Yarrowia lipolytica: one gene and its partner. Each later gene encodes a partner of the first gene's protein in a complex. Links are inferred from orthologs where the notes say so. Each region holds a gene or a part of one and is shown in the gene's direction. Other genes may lie near its edges.

Region 1 (6,423 bases):
GCTCTTGTATATCGAATATACGGCCATTTGTGGTGGATCTTTGCTCTTCTCATCCTGACTGGACATCTCTAACTGAATCACCATCCCCGAACTGATGTCTGATACAATACTACCGATATATGATCAATGCAGTTCAATTTGCGAACTCTCTGTGTAATTCTTTTGTTTTTTTAGCCGCCATAAAAATGTCTGCTTTTTCCTGTGCTTTTTCTGTGCTTTTTCTGTGCTTTTTCTGTGCTTTTCTGTGGACTGTGGCAGTCTAGAGCAACCAGAACAAGACCCGGTGGTAGTCAGTCGTTCAATGTTACCTCTTCTGGTACTTGATGGGCATTTCTGTGTCCTCGCGAGCAGGTCGCAAGTCTTAGAGTAAAAAAAAGAAAAAAAAGGGATTTTTTTATTTTTTTTAGTTGACGACAAAATTGGTTGACAAATTTGACCCTCATCGAAAAAGAAAAGAGCCGCTGCACAAGGACTAATATGTCATCATACAGATGCGCATAATGAAGCTCGCAGCAACCAATTAATCTCGCTTGGGCAATCTGTTTCAGTTCGAAAATCACCCTATCCCTCCTGCGATTAACTTTTTGGGAAAAGTTTCAAAATTAGCCGAGAGTCAACATCGATTGCTATAACACCTGGGAGAGGATCAATGGACCGGAGATGTTTGTAAGATTGAATATATTAGTGCGGAGAATAGATTGGAACTTTCGCCGACGTTTTTCGACCCAATTTGGCCGTCAAATTTCAACTTTGTATGCACCCCGCAGAGAGCAAACCAAAAAATCCAAAAAAAATCCAACAAAATCCAACAAAAAAAAACAATACTCGTGGAGAGGCCAGAGAGCTTGATTTTAGTTCCGCATCGACAATGAGCATCATTGTCGTCTCCTTGGTGATACGAGTACGAGCACAAAGGCGGTCATTGTTGATCTCTGAACCAATACAAAGAGCAGACACAAAGAGCAACGAGAAGTCGAACAAAAAACCATCGAAACTACCGAATTGAACAAAAAAACTATTGAAAAGTCATAAACATTGAGAGTACTACATTTTAGTTCTTTTAGTCAACTCTTGTTTGTCAAACTGGCAATTGGAATGGTTTCGGTTACTATAACGAATACACACAGGTGGTACTAGTCAGCTAGGAGTCGTCTAAGAGAGGCTCAATTGGGCTTATGAGACGGCCGAGACTTGAATATTTGTTTCCTAAGAGGGGTTTGGTTACTAGGAATCGGATTACTAACAGTTTAACACAAGTCTCGGTGACTTCGTCTCTCGTCTCAATGGTCTGAAGTACTTGGTTCCGATGATTATCAATGACCATGGATGAATATTGGTGACTAAGAAAAGACTTGATAAGCCTCCAACAGATTTACTTGATGGAAATGAACAGGTATTTACACTGAAGACATTGGTTGGGTTGGTTTGCCGATGGTACTGGTAGAAGATAGCTTACAGTGTTCGGTAGAGTCTCTCAGTGATTCAACGAGCTGCTAAGTCTTTCCAAGAGTTGATTATCGCCTTCTCCGGGGCTTAATTACGTTCCTGGTGTTCAAAATAAATTCTGTTGGTCATCTTCTAATGATTTTTCTTTTAATCTGAATTATTTTGAATTAGTGCTGAGTTTTTGAAAAAGCAGTTAAAATTAATTGGAGAAGTCGTAGAAACATGGTAGAGGAAATCGGAAAATTGAAAAATGTTCAGAATCGTCTCAATAATGACCTTATATTCTGAAAACCTGTCCAAACCAGCCAAACCCCTCTTTATCCCCCGTCACGTGCTCTCCGGACTACTCTACATACACTCATCTTATTTTTCGGAGTAGTTGAACCAGGGAACAGGGTGTCTCCAGAATGGGATTCGGAAACCGTAGAGAAAATCTGACACCGGATTTGGATTCCCCAGGTTCGAAATACCTCCCACACACATTTTGACCCCAAACGGACCCTAGCAACAGTCCCCACGATCTGTCCATTATCCCTTCGCTTCTTAAAATAAAATAAAAATAAAAATAAAAATAAAAGTAAAAATAAAATCCAACCTCCAAATTAAAGTTTTCCACGCATATTTCCAAATCACCAGAACACAAAACCACTCTGACACAAACCCACTCTGGCTGTTTGTGTAACATACGACTACGGCTCCAACAATGACTGCGCGAGCGCCCCCTGCCAACCGCAAGCTCAGCAACATGCTGATGGCGGACTTCAAGCAGTGTCTGACTCTGTACGAAAAAAAGGAGTACGCCGAAGCCATCAAACGGGCGGATCACATTCTGACTCAGAAGCCGGATCATGGCGAGACTCTGGCGGTCAAGGGTCTGTGTCGGTACCATCAGGACTCGCCCGTGGAGGGCCGATCGCTGATCAACGCCGGAATGAAGAACGACCCCGAGTCCTACATCATCTGGCACGTGCTGGCTCTTCTGGAGCGGTCGGAAAAAAACTACCACGCGGCCCTCAAGGCGTACCAAAAGTCGCTGACCATCGACCCGTCCAACCAGAACGTGCTGCGGGACCTGTCGTTGATGCAGATCCAGACCCGTGAGTACGAGCCGCTGGTGATCACCCGACGGAAACAACTGACCGACAAGCCGGAGATCCGGGCCAATTGGACCGGGCTGGCGGTCGCGCTGTTTCTCAAGGGCGACTACGCCACCGCCGCACGAACCCTCGCGGCATACGAGGAAAGCGCCCCCGAAAAGGAACCCAAGGACAAGACCCAGTCGGACGACATTGAAAACTGCGAGCTGGCGCTGTTCCGAAACAAGTGCCTGATCGAGGCCAAGGAATACGACTTGGCGCTCAAGGATCTCGAGGAGCTGGAAAATAAAACCTCCAAGCGCCATATCCCCGACCAGCAGTCCATTCTCGAACATCGATGCGACATTTACATCCGACAGGGCAAAACCAAGGACGCCCAGAGACTCACCCGAGTGCTGCTGCGACGAAACCCCCATGACCGGGCTCTCTACCGACAGCTGGAGAAGGTGCTCGGCATCCAGGACAACAACCAGCTCAAGTCTGTCATGTACAAGAAGCTGGCTCAAAAATACCCCCGGTCCGACTGTCCTCGATCCATGCCTCTGGAGTTCCTCGAGGGCCAGGCGTTCGACGAGGCTGCCGACGCCTACGTGTCCACCCTCATCCATCGACGGGTCCCCTCGGCCTTCATGAACGTCAAGCACCTGTACAAGAACCCCGCCAAGGCTCTTTCTATCGGCGCCATTGCCCAACGGATCTTTGATGGCGCCACTGAAGATCTTTCTGGCGCCTCGGATTTTCTGTGGTCCGCCTGCTTTCTGGCCCAGCACTTTTCCAAGCTCGGCGACCAGAACAAGGCCCTCAAGTTCATTGACAATGCCATTGAGCACACCCCAACCCTGGTGGAGTTGCATCTGACCCGAGCCAAAATTCTCAAGCGAATGGGCGCGGTCAACAAGGGTGCTGAGGCCGCCAATGCCGCCCGGGAACTCGATCTCCAGGACCGTTATCTCAACACCAAGGCCGCCAAGTACACTTTGCGGGCCAACAACGCGGACGACATTGAGCAGGCCATCAAGCTCATCTCCATGTTCACGCGAAATGACACCTCCGGTACCGGCGTTCAGGACCTGCACGATATGCAGGGCTACTGGTTCCTGTCCGAGCTGGCCCGACGACAGCGACGAAACGGAGACGGCCCCTTGGCTCTCAAGCGACACAAGGCCGCGCTCAACGTGTTCAGCGAGTTTGAACACGAGCAGCTGGACTTCCATCTGTACGCGCTTCGAAAGGGAACCATGAACGCGTACATTGACATGCTGCAGTGGGAGGACAAGCTGTACAAGAGTAAGAAGTTTATCCGGTCCACCCGGGGTATCATTGAGACTTACATTGCGCTGTGGGATACCAAGCCCGACTGTGGCTGTGGAGCAGTGATTCCGGGCTCTTTCCCTCTTAAGGCGGTCGACTACAACGCCTCCACCACGGTCAAGAAGAAGAAGAAGAAGAAGACCAACGAGGGTTCTGCCGAGGCCAAACAGAACCCTAACGGTCTGCCTACCCCCGAACATCGACACGATGCCGATCCCGAGGGTCTCAAGCTCGTCAAGAACGTCGATCTGCTGGAAACTGCCCTTGTTCATGCGAAAAAGCTCGCCGAGGTCGGCGACAGCCTCGGGCTTGTGTTCCAGGCCGAGATTTATCTGCGACAGAACAAGTACATGCTTGCTCTTCAGTCGCTCAACAAGCTCAAGGCCTCCGACGCCGCATCTCCCTACGCCTCTGTGCTGGCCAAGGTCGCCGAGGCCCAGCTTAATGGCGATGATAGCACCGCCCAGAACCTCAAGGATATGACTCTCAAGATGCTTCCCAAGCTGTTCAACGAGACAGAGTCCGATGCCGTGGCCACCGCTCGACTGGCCTTTTCCGTGCCCTCTTACAAGGAGCTAGCTGGAGAATTGCTCAAGGGTCTGGTCTCGGAGAATGCCACCGCTGCCGCTCTAGCAGTTTGGGCTGCCAATTCGCTTGGTCTGGAGCTGGAGGATCTGGCCAAGGAGCAGTATCCCGAGCTGGAGGTTCCTCTTCCCAACTAGGAAAGCGAGGTCCCGACGAGGCGAGGCGTTGTGGACAAGTGGTGCGCGAGAAAGTGTCTCGTGTGTTAATTTTGTTAGATTGTACAAGAAATAGATGATGTTTTTGCAGGAGGAGGTAGAAGAGGTGGGAGTGAGAGAAAGACGAACTAAGTAATTCATATTCATGTCACGTGAGTCATTGGGAGACGTCGGTTTGTTGTCACGTGATAACACGGAATCGAATTGACGTCACGTGTCCAATATCATTTCCTTCAGTCCCATCTGCAGGAGAGAGAGAGAGAGAGAGAGAGAGAGAGAGAGAGAGAGAGAGAGAGAGAGAGAGAGAAACGTTCACAGTAGAGGAGTAAGCGTCAGGGTGACGTCACGTGTTTATTTACAAATTTAGATTGATGTCACGTGACTAATTATTGGTTTCCACGTGACCCAGCTGGTCCGTTCGACAAATTTTAAGCCCAAAGCAGATCTTGACTAAGTACAGTATGTACGTCGGATTGGTGTCATGTGACGCAACAACTCATTTTGAAGTCACGTTACCAATTACAACCCCGATTCTTTTTATCACGTGACCAATCAGCCTCCATATCCAATACCATTTTCTCTATATACAATCTAGTTCTTTGGATGGCCCTTCTTTGCGATTCTGATACTCTCGTCTTCGTAGCCGGGAATCTGAATGTAGCTGATTCCGGCCTTTTCCAGCTTTGCCAACGAGGTGTTATCTTTGATGAAGTCGTCGGGTTCCAGAACGCCAACAAACACGGTCTTGATGCTCGAGTTGAGGATTCGGTCGACGCAGGGCAGGTTTCCGGAGAGTCGTTCGGAGCAGGGCTCCATGGTGGTGTAGATGACGGTGTTTTCCGGTACGTCTGACACGTTGTTTTTAGCAAAATACTTTTCCAGAGCGCATTGTTCCGCGTGGGTGTTCCCGGGCAGTTCTCTGGAGAATCCTGTTTCCAGCACTTGTCCGTCCTTGACTAGAACGGCTCCCACGCAGAAGGCGGAGGGGGTTCCTTCGGACTTGTCTGCCTCGGCCACCGCCAAGTCCATGAACTTTTTGTGGGGTTGCGACGCCCATTCTGGCAGTTTGGTGGAGTAGGACCACTTGGGGGCGTTGGGGTTGTCTTCATCTGGTTTGGAGGAGTAGGTGAAGGCATGAAGCCATAGAGACAGATCGTTGGGGCCCGGGTCGGTGTATAGGGGCGTTTTGCACGTTTCACAGGAGCCCGAAAGCACTTCTCCCAGGGGTTTGTTGGGGTCTGCTGGAAAGAACCACGATTCGGCGGTTTTGGTCTTGCCCACGTCGTCGATCATTTTCATCATCACGTCGTAGTTTTCAAGCCCACCTTTGCCCAGGGATTCGCCCCACATTGTCGGCGACGAGTAGAGCGGGTCGTTGGCGATGGGGTGGCCCAGAAACTGCAGATGGACGCGGATCTGGTGGGTTCGGCCGGTGTATGGTTTGCACAGCACGATGGACGTTTCTCCGTCGTAGGAAATGCGTTTGAAGACGGTTTTGGCTTCCCGTTCGGTGGCGCGGTCCATCAGAGCCCGGTGGTGGTCTCGGTCCACCTTTGTGGTGACGATGTTGAATCCGATTTTGGGGTCCAGAGTGCACAAGTTTTCGTCGACGGAGATTTCGCCGTCGGGGAACTTGCCCACCACCCGGGCCACGTATTGTTTTTGCACCTGGCGGTCTCGCAGCTGGGCGCCAAACTTGTCAGCGGACTTGGGGTTTTTGGCCATGAACATGAGGCCGGAGGTGAGTCGATCAAGCCGGTTGCAAGGATGAACATGGAGTCCGTTCACGTGCTTGAGGATGTTGACGGCGGTGTTGAACCTGTATCGTC
Region 2 (5,187 bases), on another chromosome or scaffold:
ATGCTGGGTATCGGTCTGACCTACAACTACCGAAAGCCCACCCACCGTCTTTCTCAGTTCATTGTCTCGCAGTGTGTGGAGGCTGTTGGAGCCGGCTTCCTCCAAACCCCCATGATCTCCATGATCCACGCCGTGGTGCCCCATCATAACGTGGTCACAGCCACCGCCATTTACCAGTCCATCATGACCGTGGGCTCCATTGTGGCTGAGGCCATTGCCGGTACCCTCTACCGACAGTCTTACCCCAAGCAGCTGGCCAAGCACGCGCCCTTCCTGTCCCCTCGAGAGGCCCACCAGGTGGTCAACAACCTCATGGCCCCCATCAAGCTGTACCCTTGGGGCACTCCCGAGCGAGAGGCCATTGTCACCGCCTTCAACGACATTTACCGAAAGCTTCTCTACCCTCCCATCATCATTGCTGGCTTCATTTTTGTCGCCGCCTTCACTCTGCCCAACGTCTACCTTGGTGACACCGACGAGCCCACTCAGTCTGACTCCGAGGTCGACTCTTCCTCCATTGACGAGAAGATCCACCCCCATGACGAAGAGGCTCAGTACGAGCAGCATCACGATATGGAGGCCTCTACTTCTCCCGAAAACATTCCTCAGATCTCCGAGGGCATGGAGGAGGAGAAGAAGATGTAGAAAGCCCACCATCCCCACTTTCCTTCACATAGCTGGCTATGCTTTCCCGATTCTAAAAACGCTTTAATGATGTAAATAACTAATTGATGATATGATGACTTATAACTCACTTGCTTGTACACTTGTAGGAGACGACGATATGAGAAATGCGAAAGGACAACCGCCGAATCTCACATCCAAGCCATTTCTTTGTCTAATATAATTCTGCACAACTCGTTTAATTGCCTCATTAAGCGCCCTTGTCTGGAGACTGGTGACGTCGCAAAGCCGTGTAATTTACACCATGCAACTCCGAACGGCGTATTTGCTCACGAAAAAAAAGAAAAAAAGAAAACATTTGGATTTAGTTTTCACAACTTATATATGCAAAAAATGCAAATCAAATCCAAATAATGGTGAGCACGTGTCGGAGGTGGATCTGTGAAGACATGGGTCTCTGTCTATAGGAGCACTGATGTGTTGATGCGCGGGTTTAGAGCTGCATGAGCTGTATGAGAACTGGATGAGAACTGGATGAGAACTGGATGAACACTTCTTTGTAGTTATCTACTATGCCATAGTATACTCAATGAACACTTGATGATATAAAGAATCATGCGAAAACTGTTCATGTTCGAAACATTGTGCCGAGCTAAACAAAATGATGTAGCCTGACATGGATAGACATCTCAAGAGACGACGAACGCGGGTTCAACTTTGGGGAGTTTGACTTTGGGGAGTTCAGTTGAGTAGATATCGCTTGGTGATATAGGTGAACAAGTACAGTACAGTATGTACATTACTACTAAAAGTGTAGATGATACTTCTATACATTCAATTGTCAAGAATGCAGGCAGATAATCGGCCAACAGGACAGTATATAAGGTACACCAGTGTCATTCCGTACAAATACACGTATTAGAACATCATTTTATATCACAAGTGTACTCATTACCCCAGTGACCATTCTAGCTGACAAGATATTGGAGGTCACATAAGCAAACCCGAACCCCTCAGTCTCGAAAGATCCCCAGCTCTTCAGCCACGCCAGTACTGATGAGGCGTTCCACGCACGCTGACAATCGGGGCCGCGCTAGGAAAATTTCTCCTCATGTCCGGTTTGACTTGTTATAGACGTTAAGAGGGATGTCTGTCGTTGCCTCTCTATCGGAGTTGGAGTGCGCGTAGACATACCAGAAAAGGTCGAGTGAGTAATCGCATGTCACCATGCCAATACCATAGGCGTACACTGAGTATTACGTCGTACAAGTAGTTGGATAACACTTAGTAGACACATAATTGAAATGACAATATATAGTTTTTTATTTTTATTTTTATTTTTATTTTTATTTTTATTTTATTAATCCCAAGTAAAGTTACAGACAATACAGGATAGAGGGGGATTACACCTCGTGGTACAGACCATATAGTACAGTACATACAGTATCTCACATCTCGAGACACCTCCTGCCAACCATTAATCTCTTTTCATCAACACTTTCATCTTTTCTCCTTTTCTTGTCCTTTTTTCCCTGTTTTCCTTTTTTCCCTGTTTTCCTTTTTTCCCTGTTTTCCTTTTTTCCTTTCCCTTTCCCCTCGCCCCTTTCGCCAGCTGGAATCGAACTGCAGAGCTCTAACCTGCCGGATATATTTCAGGTCTGGAGCACACCAGTGGTGCATCCCGAAAGCTTATTTTTGTCACAGGAGATATTGCAGACGAGAAATCCACTGAACCGCCGTAATCACCGATCCACCCACAATGAGCAAAGTCCAGCTAGACGACCTCACTCCCAACAACTTGGGCATGCTCAAACGCATCAACTCGGTCGTCCTGCCCACGTCGTACACCGACTCCTTCTACACCGAGGCCCTGACGGTGGGCCAGCTGGCCAAACTTGCCTACTACAACGAGATCCCCGTTGGAGCGATCCGATGCTGCCTCGAGGTGGCCCCCGAACACACCAAGCCGTCGCGAATCTACATCATGACCATCGCCGTGCTGTCACCTTACCGGGAAAACGGCATTGGAGGCATGCTGCTGGATCACATTGAGCGGTACGCGGCCGAGACCTTTGTTCCGGAATTGAGCGTCCATGCTCTGACCGACGACACGGAGGTGATTGAGTGGTACAAGAAGCGAGGCTTTGAGATTGTCGACGAGGTCAAGGGTTACTACAAGCGCCTGACCCCGGCCAAGGATGCCTATCTCATGGTCAAGAAGCTGAAGAAGGACCAGTAGGGAGACAAGAGAGTAAATAGACGATGGAGGATGCATTTGGTTACTGTATTACAAGAAGGTACGATGTAGTACATAATGTTAGGGACTGAACTGCGCAGACGAGTAGCAACAAGTGGATCAATGGGTCAAGAAGGTAGAATGGGCCACTAAAGATTCACAACGCCTTTTGTACAAGACGGACATTGTGTTTGGTATAGATCAATGTGTATTGTAGCTCAATAAAGTGTGTCCCTGGGTCTTGCTCTCCAAAAGACCCCCTGATCCCAGGTGATCTAGATCTATTTGCATCCACGTTCATGTTACAATGTAAATGTTAACTGGCTGTACTAGTATACCACAATCATAAACACATTCAATCATCTACTCATACATGCTATGCTAGTTTGCCATGGACACCTCAGGAACCTCAGAGACCATCTCCGAGACCAACTCTTTCACCTCTGAAGGAACCACTGCATCGCCCTCCTCCTCCTCAGCCTCTTCTTTCTCGTTTTCATTCTCCTCCTTCACCTCCTCAACAAGCTCGACAGCCTCGGTAGGAACCAGGTTTCCGTTCCACTCTCCACAATTAGGACACTTGTATCTGATCTCAGCAGCAGTCTTGCCAAATGGAGCGAGACCATTGTGATTGTGGCACTTGCTACAAATCAGTGCCTGTCTGTTCTGAGCGGCGCTCTCGTCTTCTCCAACAAGCAGGTCCAGCACTCGATCAAACCATTGGCGCTGGTAGGGGCCGGTAGAAACTGGCGCTACAGAAACGCCGGCCTTGTCCAGCGACTGCTTCGCTGCCAGAACCTCCTTCTCCGAAACAGGCACGGGTTTGGGGATGGCTGGAACAGCAGCAGGTACATTGGGTCCTGGCCCAGGGGCAGGCACGACAGGCACGGCAGGAACGTTAGCTGTGGGGGGAAGGTTTCGAGGCACGTTTGCTGTGGGAGGAGGAACGCCTTGTCGTCTGTTAGTAGGTGCATTCTGTTTGTTTGCTTGCTGCTGGGCGGGTTTCTTGACCTCCTTCTTCTTGGGCTCGTATCGATCGACAATGGCCTTGGTGGAGTAGAATCCTGTCTTCTGTTTGAGCTCCTCCAGCTTGCCCTCTTGTTGTTGTCGCAGATACTTGATTCTGTCTTCGTCGAAAGACACAAAACGACCCAAGACAGCCTGGATCACATATCGCACAATGTAGATTGCGGGAGGACCCAAAAGCACACCCAGTGTGAGTCTGTTACCGGAGAGCAGCTGGTCACGGCTCAACTGGTTCTTGGCGACCACAATGCCCACGTAGACAATGTAGACGACCAGCGAGTAAAGAGTGAACAGACCCTTGGTGCGTCGGAGTCGCAAACGTCGCGATAAAAGCCGTTTTTCTGTCTCCGCAAGTTTGGTCTGGAGAACCTGTAGCTCCTTTTCGTAATTGGCCGACGGGTCGGACCGCTTAAAGAGCCCGAGGAATGACGACATGGATGATGGTGATGATGGTGACTTGGCTTGTTAAGTTGGTGTGCAATGTGCACATGGCAATGCATGTGGGAGGTTGTTAGAGCTTATTATCAGGAGTACGCGATGTAGGGAAAGAGATGAGACATTATATATAGTTGATTGCGGGTGAGAAATTCGTGGGAAACAGAGCCGGGGGTTACAATCAGGGTGTAAGATCTTGGAGAGTTGCAAGCTGACAGTTGATGATGATGTAAGTATAGTATAGTACGAATACTGCACGGACATTACAAGTACAGTATGTACAGTACAGTAGTACAGTACTGTAACCGTATGATAAGGAGAAGCAAGAAGGTCGTAGAACAGGAATAATACATCTTTTTCTACTGGTACCATGTGATAAATGTCGTCTTCAACAAAGTCGTCTTCGGTTGTTGAAATATGAATATACGATGCAGTGCTACATGAACTCATTTTCATCATTAGTGCTCTCTAGGGAAGAATAAGCACGCGATGTTGACATAGCCGTATGTACGATGGACGTCGTCTCGAGCACACATTTGAAGGAGAAGGATTGAAGTATAGGCTTGAAGAATAGGCTTGAAGTGTTAATCAGACTGCTTAATACAATGTTGAGATGCGTTGGCAATGTCAATCGATTAATCAGGCCTGTTTTTAGACAGTTAGGACGCACCGAATCTCCTTCACACGCTTTCAAAACATCATTCGATATCCCTGGAGCTTTTATCTGAACATATTGTCTATACAGTGGAACAATACCCATATCGACACTCTGGGGCATGGAAACATACGCCTTCACATCGCTGGACTACATGACCCTGTCCGGAATGAGGAGACAAGCGATAATGGCAATAATTCGAGATAGAAAC

Evidence for each region. Proteins that work in one complex are often made in the same cells at the same time.
Region 2: the proteins of YALI1_F16117g (region 1) and YALI1_A10529g are in contact, whole or in part, in a cryo-EM structure (PDB 6HD5), measured with the Saccharomyces cerevisiae proteins. The link is inferred for Yarrowia lipolytica from reciprocal best matches to the Saccharomyces cerevisiae genes NAT1 and NAT5. Residues at the interface, in NP_010244.1 of Saccharomyces cerevisiae: Pro376, Thr377, Gln378, Pro380, Ile381, Ile384, Asp412, His413, Thr414, Pro415, Thr416, Tyr421, Gln446, Leu447, Asp448, Leu449, Gln450; in NP_014896.3 of Saccharomyces cerevisiae: Asn14, Asn15, Leu16, Gly17, Met18, Lys21, Val25, Tyr66, Ser67, Ile69, Pro70, Leu99, Asn101, Tyr102, Lys105.

The regions. Positions count from the first base shown.
Region 1 is NC_090775.1:1,607,502-1,613,924, reverse strand, and holds YALI1_F16117g (uncharacterized protein), read left to right. Parts: upstream 1-2,149; coding exon 2,150-4,576; downstream 4,577-6,423. Other genes in the region: YALI1_F16069g (uncharacterized protein), read right to left, coding at 5,186-6,423. UniProt on the Saccharomyces cerevisiae protein: Non-catalytic component of the NatA N-terminal acetyltransferase, which catalyzes acetylation of proteins beginning with Met-Ser, Met-Gly and Met-Ala.
Region 2 is NC_090770.1:1,050,111-1,055,297, reverse strand, and holds YALI1_A10529g (uncharacterized protein), read left to right. Parts: upstream 1-2,383; coding exon 2,384-2,863; downstream 2,864-5,187. Other genes in the region: YALI1_A10565g (uncharacterized protein), read left to right, coding at 1-645; YALI1_A10510g (uncharacterized protein), read right to left, coding at 3,242-4,321. UniProt on the Saccharomyces cerevisiae protein: N-alpha-acetyltransferase that acetylates the N-terminus of proteins that retain their initiating methionine. Has a broad substrate specificity: able to acetylate the initiator methionine of most peptides.